Mus musculus: one gene and its partner. The protein of the gene in region 2 purifies or fractionates together with the protein of the main gene of each other region. This does not show direct contact. Links are inferred from orthologs where the notes say so. Each region holds a gene or a part of one and is shown on either strand. Other genes may lie near its edges.

Region 1 (5,172 bases), on a different chromosome or scaffold from region 2:
TCCTTCCAAAAAAACAATGAATGGAGCAAATCTCTCCCTCCGTAATAACCAATTTTGCACTTGGCAACCTTGTCTAACACAGACAGCTGGTGACACTTTTGACACCCGGGGCCACACACAGAAAGAAAGCAGCCTGGTCGATGCTGCTCAAGAGGAACTGAAGGAATGGGGACAACTCCCGGCTAGGAGAGGTGGGTGCCTTTCACGTAGACTGCAGGGAGTCCACCTGGTAGACGTTCTGGTTGGAGGGCGTGGTGAAGTACAGCTGCGGAGTGGGGACACGGTTGTCACAAGGGCTGCTCAGTCCCAGGGTCCTTTCGAAGTCAAGCAGCTGGCCCATGAAGTTGAAGTTGGGGGAGATGTTGGACTTCTTCATCTTAACAATGTCGTAAGCATCGTTCATGGACAGGTTGAGCTTCTGCATGAGGTACGCCACTGTCACGGTGACAGAGCGGCTGATACCTGCCAAGCAATGCACCAGGACACCACAGTTTTTGCCTCGGGCTTCATCTGCGGGAACACACACAAAAAAAGGCAAGAGTTCACTAGACTGGAAAAAAAAAAAGGAACCAAGCCTTTGCAAAATGCTTAGCCTGAAGTCTGAATTCAGAAGGAATAGTAAACAACAATTATATGTGGCAACTAAGCCCCCGAAGGCACCAGAAAATGTATAACGGGAGATAAACATGCACACTGAACACAATCACATATTTCAGATTATTTCCTGTAAAGGGAGCTTTTGTAGTAAGTTTCTAACAACAAAAAAACTCCTTAATGTGTGTACATTCCTTGCCTCAACTTGTGAATACCAGAAACCCTGCAATCCGGTCCTGAATGCCTCTCATACAGACCAAGCAGACTGCAAGGGTCTATTAAATTATTCTCCCAACTGTTGTGCAGCTAACAATGGGGGTATTCAGGCATTTTAAAAGAGAGAGGGAAGTCACAGGGGACAGCCCATTAGAAGGAACAGGATGTCTACATGGCCTGAAAATGAGTTCCTTTGTAATAGGAAATGCACTACAATGCCTGGAGCTTCGCTTCTCTTAGGCTCTCAGCCCACAGTCCTTCCTGCGGGGGATCAGGTTACCCAGAGGCTCACAGTAACCAGTACCCTGCAGTATCACTCAGCTAGGTAACAGCTAGTATTCAAACTGCTTTCCAACAACTAACTTGGGTGTCCTAAAATAACTCCTAGATATATTTTTTTAATTATAATGCAATACTAGAATTCTTGTCTGCAAGTGAGTGCTTTTAACTCACTCTCCTCTCACATCCTGTCGTCTAGAGATAAGGAAAACATGGCTGATTGGAACAGCCTCCTTTTAAAAGTATGAATTAAATGGCTCAAATAGTCCCCCGATCTGCTACGTCAACGGGCCCTGTTTTCCCTTTAAGCAAGAAGGTAAACAAGAATTAACACTCTTAAAGACAGTAGAAGACCTGCAGTCCAGCAAAACAGCCTGCAGGAAAACAGATTAAGATCTTCAACTCTATGAATGACTGTAAATTAGTCTCACCTATGAAAGAAATGGCCTCAGGGAAAAACTGGGACAGGTTTTGGCTCCAGTGATCCGAGATAGGAATTTGCTTGTATTTGAACTCGCCCGCATTCTCAAACAGATTGGGCAAATTGGGGGTGACATTCAAGATGTACTTGATGCCAAACTCTTCCAACACGTCCAAGTTGGTCGAGTCCTTGGCACAGCCCAGGTAAAGGAAGGGCAAAATCTCCACCGGGAAGGAAGGCTGGCTGTTGGACAGCGGGCTGCCATCAGAGTCCGTTGCACTATTGGGGTCTCGGTCAAGGTCAGACTCAATGTCCGAGGAAGAGTCCGAGCTGATCCGCAGGCCCCCGAGCCCCAGCACTGGCAAAGGCGGGGAACTGCTGCTGCACGAGCCGTCTAGATTGGTCTCGCAGTGCAGGGCGAACTCGGCCTGGAACTTACTGAAGCCACCTGCCAGAAACAAGAAAAGCAATCTTGTAACCGGAGAAGCTGTAGTAATTTACAGCTAGTGAGAAGCACAAAGAACACTATGGACAGGCACCCTAGGAACCCCCGGCAGTGGTAGAAGCACGCTTCAATGCGCACCTTTAGGAACACTACCCGCTGCTTACCCTGGGAACACTTATTCTCCTGAATCTGGAAATGCACAAGATTACTTTTCTTAATATTTCGAGGAGCTGCGAGGTGCCAAGCTGCACCCTGAACTACGTTTCCAGCTCTTGTGAACCTTAATCCTACACCTACCCAAAGAAAGGTGCCTGATTAACCCTTGAAGGAGAAGCTACCACGGTGGCCCAGCTAGCTCCCCTAAGCGCAATGCAAGCGGCGATCGCTACCTCGCTAACATTTTCCCCAGCCTGCAGTCCCAGCCCGGAGCCCTGCACCCGGGGCGCACAACATACCTTCCAGGTAGAACGCCCGGCAGCCCTCGTCTTTGAGTTTCTTGAGCAGCAGCCCGAGGACCGACTCTCCACCAGTGTTCTCATTCCAGTCGCTGCTATTCTCGTCGTACAGCACCACGGTGTCGGTGCCGCAGCGCCTGGTAAAGCGGTCCCGGTCCTCGCAGCGCGTGAAGAGCGCACGCACGGGCAGGTTGCCCTTCTGCAGACGCCGCAGCATGATGCCGGGGATGGCCACATTAATGGCAGATTCGATGTGTGACGACTCGTACAGCTCCTGTGGTCGGCAGTCCATCAGCAGAAGCCGTTCGTTGCCCAGCTCCAGCTGCTCGTTGAGCCACGACACCGTCTTGCAGATCGCCATTTCCGACGCGAAGGGCACGGGTCTGAGCGTATCTATCATGGGGGTCGAGCTGCAGGAGAAGGCGGGGTGCCTAGCAGACGCCCCTCGAGGCAGGCATAGGCCGAGCACGCTGCGCGAAGCTCCCGCTCTCGGAGCGGGGTTTGATTCCGCCTCGCCTTTCCCAAGCCGAGGCTAGCGGTTAGGGAAAGCGACACAGAAGTCAAGTCGGTGGTCCCTCTGCACCAGATCACTCTCCGAGTCAATGAATCTCTCTCTCTGAATGAAGGTGCCCAGTTTTGTTCCTACCCAGTGAATGAAATCCAATTAATTCGGACTCCGTGCCACTGAGAGGAGAAAAAGGGAAAAGAAAAAAAGTCTAGCGGCTCTTAATCCTTCCCTCTGAGGCTGCACCTCGGATCCAACCCGGTGTTTCTCGCCGGATTATTCAAGACTGGGTTTGCTCACAGTCCCTAGGACTCCGCGAGAGCACACCCCCTGTGCGAGGCAGCTCCTCAATGGATACAAACAGCCAGCGTCTCAATGGATACATTCTCTCGGTCAGCCAATGAGCGCGCTGCGGAAGGGGCTGTTGCCGTGGGGACGGGCCGGCTGGAACAGGTTGTGTTGATGAATTGTTAATGAGTTTGTCATTCACAAAAACGGAAAGGAATTTCCGCTCCGGATAAGCCCCAGTGCAAACAAGCTGCAACTGCGGGCTCGGCGGGAGGAAGGAGAAAGAAGAGGAGGCGGCGGTGGAGGAGGAGCAGGGCACATAAACCAGGGCACTAAAGTTGTCTCGTGTTTCCTTCTGTTTAGAGTTCACACTTCGCGTCTAACTCTTGCGCACCAGTAGTGCAATTAGCAAGCACAAAAGCCCTTATTCGCGACGCTTACAATCTTAAGTTAGCCTTAATAAAACTTGAGGGGTTTTCCCCCTTTTTAATTCTCTTTAACGCTAGATCCAAGCCCGCCATAGCGCCGCCCCTGCTCCCCCACCCCCAACCCGGTCCTCCTTTAGATCGTGTGTGGCATTTGTTTGGCTCTTTTAAAAGTCTAGTTCTGTTTGTTCTAATGTCCTTTTAGGCGAGGCTGTGTTGGGACTGGTGGACTGCCTGGGCTTTAGCGACCCAACGAAGTGTTAAATGCTAATCCAACATCTCTAGAAACAAACTAGTGTTTTGTTGAAACATTTTAAAGCAACTAAGCAAACAAGCGTTTGGTTGTCCAGAAAACCAGAAGCGCCCCAACCCCGGGCTTTCTCAACTTTCTTGGCGGCAGCGGAGGGGGGGGGGCGGGTGGTGTAAGCACCCAAAACCTTGTCAGCTATCCCTGCACTTTTCTTCTGCTCCGGTGAAGTGGGGGCATTCTGAGCCATTGTTCCGGAGATCTTGCTCCCCACCACCATCACCGGTCACCCATCGAGCCTGGGGAGTCGAGCTCCTTTAACGATCTGGAGCCAAGAGCAGAGTTTGGTTTCTAAGAGGAACCGGTCTGGCAAGGCAGCCTAGGTTAGGTGCCTGGGACGACAGGCCTCACCAACGTTTCCTGCACCCCGGAGACCTGCAAGCCTGCGGGAACTCAAGCGTAAACAGTGGCGGTTGTGGACAGAGGCCGGTCCCCTATCCTTTCTAGGCTGCAGCGGTCCCCGGGCCCCGCAAGGAGCACGCTAGCAGCTCCAAACGCGCTTGCGCGCTGCGCTTTGGCCGCAGCATTGCTGCTCTGGGGGATGGGGGGGGGGGGGCAGGACACGCGACGACCCCGTGATCGCTTGTAAGGCCGTCGCGGAACCGTCGCCTAGTGAGAGACCTGGAGCGGAAAAGGAGCCAGAGGTGTCCCTGTCTGGACCCCATGGTTCCAGAGTTAGGGTTGGGAAGTCTCATGGGCACCACCCGCAGGCAACTCAGGACGGAGGCGGCACCGGAGCCGGATGGAGGCGTGGCCGGCGGGGGCCGCGACGGCGACAAGAGCGCATCCCCGGCGCGCTCGGTTCTATTGTTATATAAAAGTGCAGAGGCCGCCCCTCCCGGACGGAAAACCACCTGTGTGCGGCGACGGCGGGCCCTGCGGAAGGCGCGCGTCCCGATCCGGTCAGCCCCTCGGGTCCCAGGGAAAGGAGCTGGGCTTTGTCCGGCCGCGACCGGGAGGCGGAAGCGCCGGCTGCGGCCCTTCCCGAATCCGGGGCGCGGAGGGCGTCTAAGGTCACGGGATCTCCCCAGCCCAGCGCCTCGCAGCCGGGTCCTACCTACTGTCGCCCGCAAAGCAATTTGCATTTTTAATCACCCGCCTCTTCCGGGGTTTGGGAAATGTGGGCTAAAACAGGGCGACTTGGAGGTCCAAGTAGCCAATTTTGGAGCCCTCCCGCAGGCAGGCGCCCCAGAAGGAGCGTTTTGATGAAAATGGGGGTTGCCTCCAACCTCTCTCC
Region 2 (4,616 bases):
CCTTGGGGGTGACACCAGCCCCAGTTTACATGTCTTCTATAGAAGACAGTTCAGACTTCAGTTTTTTTTTTTTTTTTTTTAAGAAAGTTTCACAGTGTATCCCTGGTTGGCCTCAGGCTAACTTTGTAGACCAGACTGGCTTTAAACTTCTAGGCAATCCTCTAGCCCCTGCCTCCCAAGTGCTGAGATTATAGGAGTGAGGTGCTCTACCCAGCTCCTGACTATTCTTCCAAAGATAAGCCATTTGTTTTTGCTTAATCTTTGTTTTACCTTCAAGTATAAAAGGACTCTTAGTTCCCCACCTTCTGGTGTATGGTCAAGCGCTCTGTGGGAGCGCACTGTTGGGGAGTGTCTTCCTCACTTTCTGGCACAAATCATCCCCATAAGGCAGGCATTTATTTTTAAGCAAACAGTTACTGTGTGCCAGATGGTATTCGTGCATTATCTCGTTTAACCCACTCAACAGCCGCATGGCTCTGCCCGTGGAGTAACAACACTACTTCTTGTTTGCTTCTCCGAGAGCATTTTCTGCTCACAGCCACCCTCTGAAGAACACTTACTCTCCCTGCTTGTCAGATCAGGAGACTAAGGTGTGGACAGGTTAAGAGCACGGGGCTGTGGAGGCAGCGTGGGGACTTCAGGCATGAGTGGGTTAACTCAGAGCTCCCATTCTTCCTACGCCTCCCACTACCGCCCATCAGCACTCTCATTCGCCCAGTAGGGAAACTGAGGGCCCAGAATAGATGTGCCTTGCACACTGTCAGCTCCGAGCCTTGTGAAGCTCGACCCAGGGACCCTCGCTGGAAGGAATACCTGAGCTCCTCGTCAGAGCCCATTTTCCTTAACGAAGTATCTCCTACTCCCCCCGACGTGGGGGTCTCTGGAGTCCTCCTCAGTTACATTGTTCAGGACCTCATGGAGACAGACCTGTACAAGCTGCTTAAAAGCCAGCAGCTGAGCAATGACCACATCTGCTACTTCCTCTACCAGATCCTCCGGGGCCTCAAGTATATACACTCAGCCAATGTGCTGCACCGGGACCTGAAGCCTTCCAATCTGCTTATCAACACCACCTGCGACCTTAAGGTCAGAGGTTAAATGCCTCCCTCCCTCTCCTTCCCTGGTCCTGGGGCCTCTGGGTGGCTAGCAAGAGCAGCCTTGGAACGTGGCAAGCAAGAACAAAACAGTCAGGGCAGGGGCACTTCCTAGGCCGGGGAAGCCTTGGGCAATGTAGTTCAGTGGCCTGGGTTTGATTCCAGATCTGTGATTTTGGCCTGGCCCGGATTGCTGACCCTGAGCACGACCACACTGGCTTTCTGACGGAGTATGTGGCCACACGCTGGTACCGAGCCCCAGAGATCATGCTTAATTCCAAGGTAGGAGAGTTTCCCATGTCTGCGAGGGAGTCCTAGAGCCATCTCAGGGCCTAGGCACAATCCCGCTGACCCTTGGGCCTTAGCAAGATGTAGAGAGTAGAGTTTTCCTCGGCTCTGTCCTCTGCCCTTTGCTGTGTTAGATCTAAGTTGGATATGGTGCCTGTCCCAAATACTGGGAATGGCCCTGATGAGGCTGGCCGGGAAGCTCAGCACACTTTCCCCCTAGGGCTACACCAAATCCATCGACATCTGGTCTGTGGGCTGCATTCTGGCTGAGATGCTCTCCAACCGGCCCATCTTCCCCGGCAAGCACTACCTGGACCAGCTCAACCACATTCTAGGTGCGAGGGCCTGTCTGGCCGAGAGGGGTGGGGGTTAGCTTCTCAGAGGTGACATTTCTGGAGGGTGAGAATTAGGTACCACATATGGAGCCTCCTCCAGCATCTCACGGTATTTCTTCCCATTTGAAAGCTGGGGAAAGCAAGGCTAAGCCGTACCCCTGAGAAGACTGCAGCCAGAGTCTGAGCCCAGGGCTCCCTGGTTCTCCGCTCTCTGCCCTTCGTCGCTACCCCAGTGGGTAGATGGGGAGGACTGGCGGCACGTGGCTGGGCTTGGGCTCCTGGCGGCACGTGGCTGGGCTTGGGCTCCTGGTCTTGCTTCCTGACCTGTTGCCAGAAGGAGGACTGATCTTCTCACCAAGACAACTGGTTTCTCCGCAGGTATCTTGGGTTCCCCATCCCAGGAGGACCTTAATTGCATCATTAACATGAAGGCCCGAAACTACCTGCAGTCTCTGCCCTCGAAAACCAAGGTGGCTTGGGCCAAGCTCTTTCCTAAATCTGACTCCAAAGGTGAGTGAAGCAGAGGATCCGGGGTAGGCTAAAACCCAGCGGCAAAGAAGAGTGTGTGACCCTAACGCCTGCCTCAGTAGATAGCCACCCCCCCCAGGCACTGGACAAGGGATGTCCATGGGATTCCTTTAGCCTTCCTCCTGACTGCTGCCCCCTGCCTTGCCTTAGCTCTTGACCTGCTGGACCGGATGTTAACCTTCAACCCAAACAAGCGCATCACAGTAGAGGAAGCGCTGGCTCACCCTTACCTGGAACAGTACTACGATCCGACAGATGAGGTGAGCCGGTCACCAGCGGCGGGGAGGGGGGCTAGTATCCCAAGTGCCCAGCCTGGGCCTCACCGTCTTTGCCCCCTAGCCAGTGGCCGAGGAGCCATTCACCTTCGACATGGAGCTGGATGACCTCCCCAAGGAGCGGCTGAAGGAGTTGATCTTCCAGGAGACAGCCCGCTTCCAGCCAGGGGCGCCAGAGGGCCCCTAACAAGAACAGACACCCCTGTCCTTTTGGATCTGGTGAGTGCCTCCCAAGGCCCCCCCGCACAGCCACATCCCAGTCAGAGGCTGTCCAGTCTGGGTGCTGCTGCATCATCTCTGCATATCCACATGTGGTAACAACAAAGGGCCAGGGTCATGTATGAGCGAGCATCCTCCAGCCCATCCGGATGAGAGATCCGCCCCTTATGAGCAGCCACTCCAGGCCTTGCCAGAGTATATCATGATGCTTTGAGAGGAGCCTATAATCACAGTAGCACTTGGTGGCTGCTCTTGTTAGCTGCAGATAAGGAAGCCAAGACCCACAGAACTTGACAGTTCAAAGACGCTGGGGTCAGGGCTCACCCCGCTGACCATTCCTTTCTGTCCGTTTCTTCCTTCAGGTCCTGCTCCTACCTGCTCCTTCTCTGCAGATTGTTAGAAAGTGAACTTTGCTCAACCCAGACCCCGGCAGCCCAGGCTGGACCAAGGGTGGGCCTGGCCACCTTCTCTCACTTTGCTGGGGTCTCCTGCTTCAAGCAGGCTTCTCCCACTCCAATCCCCTGCCCCATCTCCCCATAGCCTGAGTGATGAGGTGGCCCCAGAGCTGATCTCTGCTGCTGTGTCTTTATCTACCCTTGCTAGCCCCGGCTCTGGTAGACCGTTCTGGAATGGAGGGGCTATGATCGTCCTAGGACCTGTGCTACGGAGGGGTGGAGGGCACTGAGTAGGGCTCTGCCCTATTCATCTTGTTGGAACCCCACCCCATTTTCCCTGACAGAACATTCCTAAGTCTCAAGGGCTAGTTTCCCTGAGGAGCCCAGGCCTAACCCTCTCTCTCTCAAGCTGCCACATGTAACGCCCTTGCTGCTTCTGTGTGTGGGTGATTGGATGTGGGGGTGGGGCCCGTGGAGAGCCGGTGCCCCTCCCCATCTCCCCGTGCCTGTATCTAATATATAAATATAGAGATGTGTATATGGATGAGCCTGCCTCTGTCTGTGTATGTCGACGCGACCCCAGCATACCGCACTCACAACTGCCCCCTGCCTCCAGCTGTGGCTTTACATGGCCCTGGTAGTCTTTGGCTCCAGCTGGCCAGGGATGAGGTTGGGTTCTAAGGAGTGTCAGTCTCTGGGAAGGGGTCAGTTTCCCTTTAGTCACTGTCTTCCCTAACAACTTCCTGTTTAACTGCTTGGAGTGAGTTGGGGTGACTCAGGGGTACCTTACACACCCCCAAATTCCCGGGAAGTGGCAAATGTGTAATAAGTTACAGATCCTGTCCACAAACACCTATGGGAGGCAGAAAGATCTAAACACTAGGGGGTGGGGCTGCTTAACCCCCCCCCCCACATGGTCAAGAACAAAAGGGGGTGCTGGGATCTGTGAAAGGTCTCTGGACATGGAACCCAGGGCTGCCTGCCTCAGTTCCTGTGCCTGGCCCCAGCTCTGGGCCATACTGCAGTCTGGCCACGTTCCAGCAGCACCCAGCAGGCTCAGCAGGTCCATGGGCGTGGCGCTGCCCGGTGGAGGAGCCAGCCTACACTGGCTGAGCAGGCAGGCTCGGCCCCGGGCATCAGAGCCCTTTGGGACAGGGAAGGCTGTGCTTTTGACAGAAGCCTGCCGTGGAGCGAGGCTATGATCCCTCTCCTGTACTTTGTTCTGCCCACCCTGGGCAGTTACGTCATGCTCTCCATCTTCTTCCTGCGCCGACCTCATCTGCTGCACACGCCGCGGGCTCCCGTCTTCCCTATCCGCCTGGCTGCCCACCGTGGAGGTGAGCTGAGTCAGGGAGGTGGAAGGGCTGGAATCCATGTAGGGTGGAGTGAGCCTAACAAGACAGGTGTCAGGGTGGGCAGCCCATCCTCAAGGTGCAAGGCATGATTGAATGTTAAAAAGAGCGAGGAAAGGAGAGTCTTGGG

What was found. Proteins that work in one complex are often made in the same cells at the same time.
Region 1: the proteins of Mapk3 (region 2) and Dusp6 purify together in Homo sapiens (affinity purification with mass spectrometry; 7 studies listed by BioGRID and IntAct, with this or other methods). This does not show direct contact. The link is inferred for Mus musculus from reciprocal best matches to the Homo sapiens genes MAPK3 and DUSP6.

The regions. Positions count from the first base shown.
Region 1 is NC_000076.6:99,261,330-99,266,501, reverse strand, and holds the start of Dusp6 (dual specificity protein phosphatase 6), read right to left. Parts: upstream 3,272-5,172; 5' UTR 2,811-3,271; coding exon 2,411-2,810; intron 1,959-2,410; coding exon 1,521-1,958; intron 511-1,520; coding exon 203-510; 3' UTR 1-202. UniProt on the Homo sapiens protein: Dual specificity protein phosphatase, which mediates dephosphorylation and inactivation of MAP kinases. Has a specificity for the ERK family. Plays an important role in alleviating chronic postoperative pain.
Region 2 is NC_000073.6:126,762,139-126,766,754, forward strand, and holds the end of Mapk3 (mitogen-activated protein kinase 3), read left to right. Parts: intron 1-896; coding exon 897-1,086; intron 1,087-1,259; coding exon 1,260-1,376; intron 1,377-1,602; coding exon 1,603-1,717; intron 1,718-2,095; coding exon 2,096-2,227; intron 2,228-2,395; coding exon 2,396-2,505; intron 2,506-2,584; coding exon 2,585-2,707; 3' UTR 2,708-2,739; intron 2,740-3,101; 3' UTR 3,102-3,678; downstream 3,679-4,616. Other genes in the region: lysophospholipase D GDPD3, read left to right, coding at 4,333-4,471.